Oryzias latipes: one gene and its partners. The protein of the gene in region 3 interacts with the protein of the main gene of each other region in a biochemical or structural test. Links are inferred from orthologs where the notes say so. Each region holds a gene or a part of one and is shown on either strand. Other genes may lie near its edges.

The links.
Region 1: the proteins of glrx5 (region 3) and bola1 form a complex in vitro, tested with the Homo sapiens proteins (2 studies listed by BioGRID). The link is inferred for Oryzias latipes from reciprocal best matches to the Homo sapiens genes GLRX5 and BOLA1.
Region 2: the proteins of glrx5 (region 3) and bola3 form a complex in vitro, tested with the Homo sapiens proteins (4 studies listed by BioGRID and IntAct, with this or other methods). The link is inferred for Oryzias latipes from reciprocal best matches to the Homo sapiens genes GLRX5 and BOLA3.

Annotation. Positions count from the first base shown.
Region 1 is NC_019874.2:29,251,654-29,255,654, forward strand, and holds bola1 (bolA-like protein 1), read left to right. Parts: upstream 1-1,444; 5' UTR 1,445-1,547; exon of another isoform or gene 1,548-1,749; intron 1,750-2,856; 5' UTR 2,857-2,872; coding exon 2,873-3,325; 3' UTR 3,326-3,497; downstream 3,498-4,001. UniProt on the Homo sapiens protein: Acts as a mitochondrial iron-sulfur (Fe-S) cluster assembly factor that facilitates (Fe-S) cluster insertion into a subset of mitochondrial proteins. Probably acts together with the monothiol glutaredoxin GLRX5. May protect cells against oxidative stress.
Region 2 is NC_019861.2:20,369,936-20,374,295, reverse strand, and holds the start of bola3 (bolA-like protein 3), read left to right. Parts: upstream 1-1,423; 5' UTR 1,424-1,537; coding exon 1,538-1,600; intron 1,601-1,713; coding exon 1,714-1,837; intron 1,838-2,625; coding exon 2,626-2,714; intron 2,715-4,360. UniProt on the Homo sapiens protein: Acts as a mitochondrial iron-sulfur (Fe-S) cluster assembly factor that facilitates (Fe-S) cluster insertion into a subset of mitochondrial proteins. Probably acts together with NFU1.
Region 3 is NC_019882.2:12,959,616-12,963,259, reverse strand, and holds glrx5 (glutaredoxin-related protein 5, mitochondrial), read right to left. Parts: upstream 2,155-3,644; 5' UTR 2,019-2,154; coding exon 1,721-2,018; intron 1,643-1,720; exon of another isoform or gene 1,360-1,642; coding exon 1,187-1,359; 3' UTR 534-1,186; downstream 1-533. Other genes in the region: prkrip1 (PRKR-interacting protein 1), read left to right, coding at 2,420-2,986.

The DNA of each region.
Region 1 (4,001 bases), on a different chromosome or scaffold from region 3:
TCCAATGCTGTAAAAATGTGTAGAATAAATATTAAATTTCAACATTCATAGCCTGCGACACACGTTTCTACCAGCAGGGCAGCGTTAGGCAGGTGGCTGATGGAAATGAACCACCGTCAGTTCCGTACATTGCTTAACAATTCACCCTCCACTCAGCGAGGAGAACGTCACAACGCCGTTCCACGGCTGGGGCATTAAATATCAAGACAATCTGCTCTCTAACATTACCAAGAAAAAAACTCATTACGGTTTGTTGGTGCTGCTGATCAGTTAGAGGGCCCACAAATTAAATTTCGCTTAGGGCCCCCGGAAGACCAGGGCCGGCCCTGCATTCAGGTCTTTTCTTAGGGGGGCTGGAATGGGTCAAAAACAACAAACAAAACCGGATCTTTGTTGGGGAAACAAACATCACTGAATCAAAATGAAAACATCCAAGAAGTAGCCTATAATTTCTGTTAAGATTAGATATAAATGCCCTATTCTATTCTAAATTCAAGTATAACATTTTTTATTTTTTCAGTAATTACTAAAACTGCTAGTTGCAAAACCAATAAGCCTTTTGCAGCCTTTTTTAAACCACTCATTGTACTGACTGCGTACCAGAAGGCAGCCAAGAGAAATGAATTCAAAGATAAGAAACTTTCCACAGAACACAAACAGAAAAAGTTCAAGCAAACAGGAAATTAACTACGGTAGTCATGTAAAAAACAACACGAAATCTAAGATAAAACAAAAAAAGTATTATTTTGTTGTAGTAAAAAAATTACTAAAATTGTTTTTGTTTTGTTACACAAAAGATCATCCACTGCCAACAGAAATAATAGACTTCTTTTAATAATATTTTCTTATTTATGAGCTAAGAAGAATTATGAATTCTGAGGCTCATAACTTGTTTTTCTGCAGAACCTCACTGGAAATATGTTTGATGCTAATAGTTATGATTTGGTGAAAGAAATCAAAACATTTTAGCATCTAATTGGGATTTCCTGTGGGACAGACAGACAAAATGTGAATCCCTGACAAACTGGACATCATAGTGATGGACAAGAAGGAGAAGAAGGTTGTGGTTATAGATGTCAAAACCCCGACAACTGGGGCTGTGATGGGGTAACCCAGTCCAGAAGTGTGCAGGTCTATGGGCCTTTAAGATCAGTTTATTTTACAGATGTGAAAGTAACAAACTCGTTTACATTGGATTGCCTCAACATGCGTCAAAAAAGATGATCTGAAGTCTGTCATCCTTCCCTGGTGTAAGCTGCTTAAATAGGACTCTCACATTAATCATGTACATAGAAAACCACGCAACCATATACCTGAATCTGTTACAGTCGAAACAAACATTTAACACATTTTATTCTCCATAAAATTCAATATAATTTTGTTAGTTTGTAAGAAAAAATTAAATATTTGAAATGCCTAACGTAAACAGGAAAACTCGGTGTCGGCCTCTTGGTATGCTGCAGTTCCACCCCTATTCGACAGATGGCGGTAGTCGGCAGAAAGGTTATCGGTACGCTAACCATCAATAAAAGAAGAAGGCTGTAGAGGTAAATAACTCCACGATTTGTAATAAAATTACATTTTAAAATGATCAGATGTCATCTACGGTTATGTTTATAATAGAATTGCGTTTAAAGTTTGAGGAGTAAAGAAGTTGTTTTCTGTTTTGACACCATTACGTAACGTAGGGTTTGTTTTAAATTAAGCTAGCAGCTCATGCTAACAGACGACCGGAGTCTTCGTCTAAAGGTAATTCGCTTTTCTTTACCGGTTTAAATGCAACTATTGTTGCGCTTTTGATGTATATACGTTCATAATTCTCTAAAATAACAGAGTTTAAGGCTCCAGTGCCCCCAAAATGACCTCACCTTAGAAAAACTGGCGCCCTCGTGTTTTGTAGTTATTGTCACTATTTTACATCGATGTTTTTGATAAAACTCACCCGCGATCGATGCTTTAAACGATTATATTTGTTTTTTAAACAACAAAAAGGTTTTAAATTTTGAAACTGAAACATCCAGGAAAGCGGAAAATAAAAACAAGACTGCAGATCATTTTTCAGCTTAGTCGAATAACCATAATAACTGTTAGTGTTTACATCTCTGAGATAAAAAAAAAATGTATAGTAAATATAAACATTTCTCAGTGTGTGGTTAAGGAAGATAAGATAGAAAGACAGACTTAATTTTAAGTTTTAAGTTAAATTCTAAGTTAATAGTTTTAAAGTTATCTGTTTTGTTTTACAAAGTTTTGCTCCAAATTCCAGTTTGTTTCACCTTTTTTCTGTTTTGTCTTTGCGTTTTATTTCCTTCCTTTATTTTAAGAAAACTTTGAAACTAAACTTTTACCAAATCTTTATATCTAAACTAAGCAAATATTATTTCTTAAATAAAACACAGCTTGAGCTGAAAAATTAAATCAGCAGATTAGTTTTCTTCTATATGAAATGAATTTGGCTTTTAAGAAAAGTTTTTCTTCATAAAACAATATTTTTTTTAACATATATTTTTAGATAAGTACTCCTTTTATTAAGTAAATACTTTTGAAGAAAAATAGTAATTATAATTGATCAAACTTATTCTCCAGCCATGTTTACTATTCTTTATTTCTCTTCTAAAACTCCTTTTCTTTTGAACTGTTTTTTTTTGTGTAAAAATATTTAAATAAATAACCAATTATATATATATTTAAATCACAGTTCATCTACCTGATTTAGACAAATTTGATCATTTTTTCTTTCTTTCTTTTTTTAAAATAAAAGCTACATTGATGATTTAAAGTTGGTTAAAGGTATTTGCCTCCTGATCTCATTTACCATCGTGGCCTGACGGAGCTCTGCTGTAACTCCTCCACCAGGTGGTGTCCCGCCCCGATGCTCCCCTGTGTCCTGCGTTCCGCCCGGCCCGCCTCAGTCCGCCTCTCCGCAGCCCGGCCTTTGGCTCACGTCAGGCCGCACATGGACCCTGACCCCAGCCGCCCTGTGGAGCGGGCCATCCGGACCAAACTGACCGAGGCCCTCAAACCCGACCACTTGGAGATCCACAACGAAAGCCACATGCACGCCGTTCCTCCGGGATCCGAATCCCATTTCCGCGTTCTGGTGGTCAGCTCTCAGTTCCAGGGCCTGCCTCTGATTCAGCGCCACCGCCTGGTTAACGATGCCCTGAAGGAGGAGCTCAGCAGCCGCGTGCACGCTCTGGCCATCCAGGCAAAGACTCCTGAGCAGTGGGAGAGCAGCCCCGCCCTGGCAAAGAGTCCGGCATGCATGGGGGGTTCGAGGGGCGACCACACAGTGGAGGAGAAGCTGAAGGCCGGCCGAGAGTGACAGTTCATGTAGCGATGAGTGGGATGCAGTGTGTGTGTCACCAACAAGGACTGTGAATGTAAATAAAAGATGACATTATAACAAATTCAAAAGCTGTTTTGAAAAACTTTATTGATCATTTGTATCAATGTAACGGAACTTAATTTCTATTAAAAACAAAAAATCGTAAAAATGCTTTCAATTATTAAAAAAAAAAAAAACTACATTTTTCCAACACAGGAAAATGTTGAGAATGGTGAGTTCATCATTTCCTTCCAACCATCCATTTTTTATATCCATTTTGGGGTCATGGGGTGTCAGTCTGTCACAGGGCACACAACTACTCCCACTCACACCTTGGAGTAACCAATTACTTGACCTATGAAACACGCTTCTGGACGGTGAGGGGAAGCAAAGTTCCTGGAGAAATGTCCCGCATGCATGGGGAGAAGATGCAAACTCCACACACAAAGAAGGTCCCAGGATTCTAACCAGATTTTCAGTTTTTAGTACTTTATTCTTGTTTGTTCGGTTTGGATCGCTGTTTTCACAAAAGTTGGACTATTTGTTAGCAATATCTATGCTGATCGTCACGACGGGTCAAATAAAACATCAGTTCAGAGAAAACGTTCACCTCTAACCACTTGTTTTTGTTCAGATGAAGAAGCTAAAGTTTGTTTTAAAGAAGCCAGCACAG
Region 2 (4,360 bases), on a different chromosome or scaffold from region 3:
CTGATGTGGCCCTCGGTGAAATGAGTTTGACACCCCTGCTCTAAATTGTCCATAGGTGTGAGTGTGACTGTGCACTGGTGTGTGATATGTGGCCCTCTGACAGACTGGTGACCTGTCCTGGATGTCTCCTGCCTTCGCCCGCAAGTGGCCAGGACAGGCTCTGGCAGCCCAGGGACCCCGAAAGGGAACAAACAGATTGGAATATGAATGAATGAATAATTTCCGTCAAACATAAATATCAGTGTGGTTCCCTTCTAAGGCATTTATTTTAAAATTGTTCAGCTGTTTCTTTTATAAGACAGTATTCGTTTAGCATATTTATTTTGTTTTCATCTGTTTTTTTACATTTATCCAATACAGGGCCAAGGCCAGATCCCTATCTGCCATCACCGATGTGTTGTAACTCAAAAGGGCTGTAGTGAAGAGTTGTCATGCTACACGGTCACAAGTTTGATTTGTTTGGTGAAGTGTTTTGTTTTGTTTGTTTGGATTGTACCAATAGTTTTTTTGCCTCTGGCTTCCAAATCAAAAATTCCGTAACTCATCAATCTGGCAGTTACTGTGCACCTGGAGGATTTTGTTTTTATAAAGTTTTCCTTTGTGTGACAGTCACATTGAAAATATGTAATATATTGTGGAAAAACTATATTCTCACTCACTCAGTCACTCAGTCACTCAGTCACTCACGAACGAACGAACGAACAAATGAACGAACAAATGAACGAAAATATGTGTTTAGAAGTTATTTTTCTTGAATGTCACAATGCTTCTTGGCCTAAATCTTGTACCAATAAAAATGGAAAACATTCATAGGGAAAGGTGTTGGGAGTGACTCACTACAAAAGTGACATGTTACAGTAACAGCTTTAAAAAATAGTTTGAAGTGTTGATAATGAATTTTGAGAAATGTTTTTCTAATTCCATGTTCAGTAACAGCACACTAAACACCCAAACGTAATTGTTAAAAGATGCAAGACGTGGGCATTAAAAGATGAAAATACTGTAAGTCATTTCATAAAGTATTTTTAAAAATTATTTAAACGTTAATTACAAAGACCAAAATTCCTGATTGGCCTTATAGACTCAATCAATTTATTTTCCTATTTAAAAAGCGTCATAGTCTTCAGTAATAATTTTTATTTATTTATTTATTTTTACAGAGAAATATATGTCTCTCCTTTTATTCTAGGCTGGATAAATGACCCAATAACTTGATTTAATTAAGCAACACATTTGGTTTTAGTCTTATCAAACCATCTGAGTTTCTATTTCTTTATCTAGTCACTGTTTTCTTTACATTTAGTCTTCCTATTTAAATATATAACAGCAACAATAAAAACTTTATTCTTTTAAGGTAACAAGTTTGTATGAATATTATTTTCAGTATAACTGGGGGGAAATCGATGAACGACAGTGCAGGGGCAGTACCCGGATGTTTGACGTCACATCTCGGCTTCAGAATCGTCTCTAGGACATGACTTTAGTGACCGAAGCTGTTTTTTGTGTGGCGTAACTAAAGGGTCACTCTATTCTAGCCATGCTGGCACGTTTCTGTAGCAGCAGGACAGTCTCTACTCTCCATGCTCTTTGCGGCAACCAAGTATAAACAGTTTTTATGGCCTTACAGAATCAGTCTGTAGCAACATGCTAACCGTGTTCCCATCGGCTAAGTCCCACTGACTGACGTTCTAACTCCTGTCTACGGTTCTGCAGGTTTCTCTCTACGGGCAGCTGCAAAGATGTCTGTCAACGCAAACAGACGGAGAGGTCCGCATCGCCAACATACTGAGGGAGAAGTTTCCATCCGCATCATCGCTCAAAGTTACGGATATATCAGGTAAACAAAAGTGATTGGCTGTTTTTAAAAGTTATTATAGGACAACAAAGTCTCCTGTCTCTCTTCACCCTTTAGGCAACAACGATTTGCAGATCTGTTTGGAAGTACCTGTCAATGTTTTTATTTCTTTTTAACATTATATATATATATTATATAACAAATATAATAGTTTTTAGTTTCAAATGGATGTTATGTCAGCAAGTGGAGCTCCGAACTAAAGCAAGTAGGCGTCTCCATTTATGCCTGTTCAAAATCCTGAAAAGGAGAGAGGAAAAAAAGAAGACATTTAAAATAATGGTTATTGACATTTGACATGTGATACGAAAAGTTTAATTCATTATTATTTTGCCCACAAATAAATGACACCTGAGTAAATATACTAAAATTTTGTCTTTTGTCGTACTTTTAAGGTAAAATGACCCAAACCCCATATTTCAGACATTCATGGATTAAAGTAAATCCTTCTCCGGTATTAACAGAATCAGAACAGCAGAAAGAAAGCAAAGCTAAGCACAAAGGATTAGAGAAGCAGTAAAGTTGAATTAATATTTTACATTAAAAACTGAAATCTGAGTATGACTAACCCACATTTTTGAAATTACCTTTAAAAGAAGATCAAAAGTGGATTTAACTTAGCAATATTGTATTTAGCAAGTAAAGGTCAATACAATATTAACCATATTTTTTAGACCCAGCTCTCTATTAACTATGCAATTTGTGATTGATTAATTGCTGTAACTCAGTCGTACCTTGTTTTTGTTTTTTGTTTTATCCTGTGATGTGCATAGGTGGTTGTGGGGCCATGTATGAAATCCACATAGAGTCCAGTGAATTTCAAGGAAAGAAAACTGTTCAGCAGCATCAGCTGGTCAACCAGGTAAAGCAAGAGAAAGAAAACACGCTAATATTCAGTTTCTATTCTCTTGTGTTTTTTTTAAACTGAACTGAAATGAAATGAAGGACCTCTAGAAGTTTTGACATTTTAACTAATTATGCTTTTTAACTCTCCAAAAATACAGCTTGCATCCTTTTTAAAGTTTTCTGCAACTAATGAAAATTTGGTTTTACTTTAATTTCTCCAAAAAAATATAACTTAGACCAGGGGTCAGCAACCGGCGGCTCCAGGGCCGCATGCAGCTCTTTCATGCCTGTGCTGCGGCTCTCTGTGGTTTTGTAAAATAACTATCATGTTCTGAGAATGTCGTGATGCCTTTAACACCGTTGGGTAGCGCGAGCAGGCAGGAGGAAGAGAGCAGCGTGAATGCACGCAGGGGGCGCGTCTGCAGCTATGAACGTGGACTAGAGTCTGTCATGAGAGGGAAAGGTTTTCTAAAAAGTCGTAATCATGTAGGGGGCACGTGAAGCGCCCCCCCCCCCCCCCCCCCCAGCCAATTTTTTCCTAGGCTAAAACCACCCATTTCCACGTGAAATTAATTAAATTTGCGTAAAGGCGCCCCTACTATCCTGTCAACTGTCTGCTATGATGACTGTATGTTGCGCTGTCTGTGTAGAACACGCTGGAGGGGGGGTTGCATGCGGGGGAAAGCAACTTGGAGCTGCAGAGGAGTGAACAGGTAGAGGGGCGGGTCTTAGATTCACCGCTTGTGATTCCAGACCCGCAACAAACTAACAGCTGCTTCCTAACAAAAAAATAGTTGTCATCTATAAAATTAATATACTTTATTGGGTTTACTGGATTTTAAAAAAATATAGAAAGGAGTCTGCATCAAAGGCTACACGTTCACAATGCAGGCTGAAACGACCCAATTCTGATTTAACTTTTGCCCCTATGCGACCAGTATCTGATCTTTTCATGACAGTCTGAACGACACAGATCCAATCTTTTCAAATGTGACCCAGGCCACTTGTGTATCCGACCCATACGTCATCAATACGCTACAAACGTCATGATTCTGCGTTGAAGTAGGCAGGAGCGAGAACATAAACATCAACCATGGCGGACGATGCTGCTGAGACCAGTCAGTGGAAAGGAAGCAAGGTCGCCAATTTGATTAATATTTGGGGTGACAGCTCTATTCAGGCCAAAGTCAAGGGCTCTTATCGCAACCGGTTGTTTTTTGAAAAAGTTTCCAGCGAAATGGCCGAGCGTGCTGTTGAGCCTTTCCCGCGATGACTTTTTTCCCCTTTTCCGACCGTGGCCAGAAGCGCGGGGGACCGAAGGCGGATCCTCCTTCAGGGTTCACTTCCCCGATTGGACCCTCAGATCATCCAGAGCGGGTTAATAAAGAGTCAATAGCGGTTCTGCTGGGGGAAGCCTTCTTTTATTACCGTTCTGCTTCCTCCGTAACACACATGAATGCGTGCCCCCAACACACTTCCGCTGCCCCCCCCCCCTCACTCCCTCCTGCACTGCACGCGCTCTCTCCTCTCTCTTACACACACGCGTGCGGCCCCAGCACATTCACATCCCCATTCCACAACAGTGGGTACAGACAATTCTGGCTCCAATACCTTCTTAAAATGAGAAGATTGTAATTGTGCTGGCTCCTTTGTGAAAATAAA
Region 3 (3,644 bases):
TTTTCAAGTCTGGACTTTGGAGCATTGATAGATCATGTGGTCTGATGCGTCCAGATTTACCGTCTTCCAGAGTGCTGGGGTGAGCTGATGCGGTGTGAACGTAGCAACGGTTTCAGCTCAAAGAACGAAGTCAGTGACGACCTGAAAAAACGGAATCACCAGATTATTCCATCAATGGATTCTTTTCTTTCCCGATAGCACGGAAATACTCCAAGATGACGATGTCAAAATACATCAAGCTGAAATGACAAAGGAATGGTCTATGATGACACAGCATTTTCACTGATTGATCAGAGTCCAATTCTGAACCCTATTTAATATTGAAAGCCTAACTTTAATGTTAGGTTTTTCTGCAGAATTCATTTTTCTATAACGCTTTTATTTTGTAAACAAACTCCCATCAAATGAAATGTCCTTTGATTTGTCATCAGGAAAACTAAAAATTCTATTTCTAAATAAGGACATCCAGGCTAAACTAGTTTTAGTCTTTTATGCAAATCTTTATGCAAATGAAAAATGTTCCCACACAAATGGAAAGTTTGTCTTCAAACTGTTTTACTTTTGCAGATTTACATGCATCCCAAATACATGTGATAATAGGCTTTAAATGTACAATATCTTACAGTGTACTACATGTTTCCGTGATGATACAACTGCAGCAGCTTTGGAAAGTCAGGGCTTGAGGAAACGAACACAAATGACTGTAAAAAAACAAACTTTTCCTTTAGTAACAGGAAGCTGATATGAACTGCTTTTCTCAACAGGCAGCAAAGCAGCCACTGTGTCCGGTTGGTTTCGAAAAAGGCGTTGCTTCTTGCAGAAAGGGATGGAGTTCTTCCCCCTGGAGGCAGTGCATTTGGAAGGTTTCCAGTGTCGACATTCTGTGATGTAACTGGCAGCTTAATCATGACCTTTGTTTTGATGCAGGAGATTGAGGGCCAGGTTTGTTCATGATGAACGTTAATAAGAAAAAAAAGTGTGTTTGGATCCAAATACAAATGGGTTTCTCCCAACTAACCAATGATTCAAGCACTCTGGACTCTTTCTGTGTTTGTATTTTGATAGACCATGTGATTCAGCCTTTCTACTGAGTCGAACTTTCTGTAATCATTTGAATGTGGGTGAGGATTTCTTCCATTAAGCCTATCCTCAACTTCTTACATTAAAACAGATTTTTTCTTTTTTTTTACTTGGAGTCTTTCTCTGCATCCAGAAGGGCAGAGCGGATGCCCAGCTTCTTCAGTTCATCAACTAGATCTCCGTTTTGATGCATCTGGAGCAAGATGTCGCAGCCTCCCACAAACTCCCCCTGGAAGTAGACCTGAGGGATCGTGGGCCAGTTGGAGAAGACTTTGATTCCTGAAAGCAGAGGGAAAACTTAGGAATCCAGAGAGAGTGGACAACTGTTGACCAGCATGGCAATCTAGACTTCAATACTTTTAGAGATGGTATAGATTTGTTTTAATGTATTTTTTGCTGCTTATATATATCCAGCTGTGACAGTTTGTCTTGAAGCACCACACCCTGCTGCAAGACACTGATAACAGATGGATACAAATAAAGGTTGTTTTGAATAGACAATGTTTAGAACCATTTAACCAAGTACCAACAAAGTAAGAATAAAGTACACACTAAAAAAGAACTTTTGAATTTTTTTTGTTTTTTAAAGAATTGGCAACTTTTTTTCAGGGTGTCGGACAGGTTACCGCGCAACACTGACCTTCCCTGAGCTCCTGGTCCTCCAGGACGTTGTAAGCGGCGTAGTCGTCCACCCCGTGCATGCGCAGAATCTGGACCACGGCATTACTGAAGCCACACATTGGCTGTGCCGGCGTGCCTTTAATAAAAACCACCACTTTGTCCTTCTTCACCATGTCACCCAGAGTCTTCTGGACATCCGCCGCCGCACACAGAAACCGGGCCGAGGCCAGGCACGCGCGTCCTTCCGCGGGCCTCGACAAAAAGACCGCTGAACCCGACCGAAGGCACCTGGCTGACAACTTCAACAAACTATTCATGGCTAATTACTTATTTTTGACTGGATAAGTCAAAGCGTCAAATGTACTCTAGCTCTCTGGTGAGACAGAAACTAGTCGGCCACCACTCACTACTAAGTCGTTCCGCTGGATTCCGGCAGTTGATTGGACAGCCCCGCCTTCACAAGTTGAGGCACGTTCTGTCATTGGCGGAGCCATACGTCAATCAATGACGTAGGTCAAAATGACGGACAGTTACGCAAGGAAAACTCTTTAAAAAAACATTTTTAAAGCACAGATAAAACTTTCAGGCTTAAAAATTAATGTCATATCGTTTAAAATAAAAAATGTGATCAATAAAAAGGATATTTGTAGAGCTAGGGAGGGGGGTACTTCCGGGGCAAGTCGCTACAAAGCGGAAGAAAACGAAAATTCTTTGAAAGATGGCGGCGAACACACAAAAAAATAACAAGCCGGGGAAATCTGGAGCCAAAGAGGCTCAGCCTCTAATTATTCCCAAGAACCCGGCAGAGGAGCAACGTTTACGGCTTGAGCGGCTCATGCGGAACCCCGAGAAACCAGCTCCCATTCCGGACAGGCCGAAGGAGTGGAACCCGCGCGCGCCGCCGGAGTTCGTCAGGGACGTGATGGGCTCGAGCGCCGGCGCGGGCAGTGGGGAGTTCCACGTTTACCGCCACTTGCGCCGCAGGGAGTACCAAAGACAGGATTTCCTGGACAAGCTGTCGGAGAAGCAGCAGAAGGACCTGGACTACCTAAAGAAGCTGGAGGAGAACAGGAAGGCGGCGCAGGAACGCACGGAGAAGCGGCGGAAGAAGCGAGAGAAGCTGAAGCAGAAGAAGCTGATGGCGAAAAAAGCCAAAGTGGGGGATCAAGACAAATCGGACACAGCAGAGAAAACGGCGAGCAGCAGTGATGAAGAGGAGGAGGAGGATGAGGCTGAGAAGGAGGATGATGCGGAGGCTCCCAGCTTTATCATGGGAAGAAAATAACAGCAGAACACTGCAGAGCTGTTTGTTTCTGAAGCTGGACTGACCCAGGCTCCCTCTGATGACCCAGTGGACTAAAATACAAATGTTGTCAAAATAACAAACTTTGACATCAGTTTATACATTTGTGATTTTGAGTAAATCAAAATTCTTTCCTGACTGTCAAATTGAACCCACTAAGTTTGAATTTTTTAAATAAAAATGTATTTGCTCAGTTCTCTGTATGCTTTTATTTTGTCATGTTATTCTCTGAGCTGTGCATGACATTAGGGACATATTTTTGCAGTGTTGTGAAGCTGCCCCTGGTGAAACCAGTCGCTTGTGGGCCAAACAAAGCTGCAAAGAGCATCTCAAAGAATGAAAAGGCGTGACCCCTCAAGGGTTGGGGGTTCCACGTGCGATCTTCTTCGGACAAAGTCCTGCTTTCCACGGTGGCGACCGTCCGGCTCAGTGGCCGTCGCTGATCTAGAGGCAGGCAGAGTAAAAGCCAGGCAGATGGATATTGTTTGAGATGAGGAAAGCGTTTCCTTTCAGACACTGTCAGCTGTCACAGTCACACCATTCTGTTATTTTCCACGTTTTGTTTCTGTTCTTGTACAGCTGGTAATTTTCCATAAACATTCTTACAAATAAAGAAAACTTTCAACTTATTACATTTTTT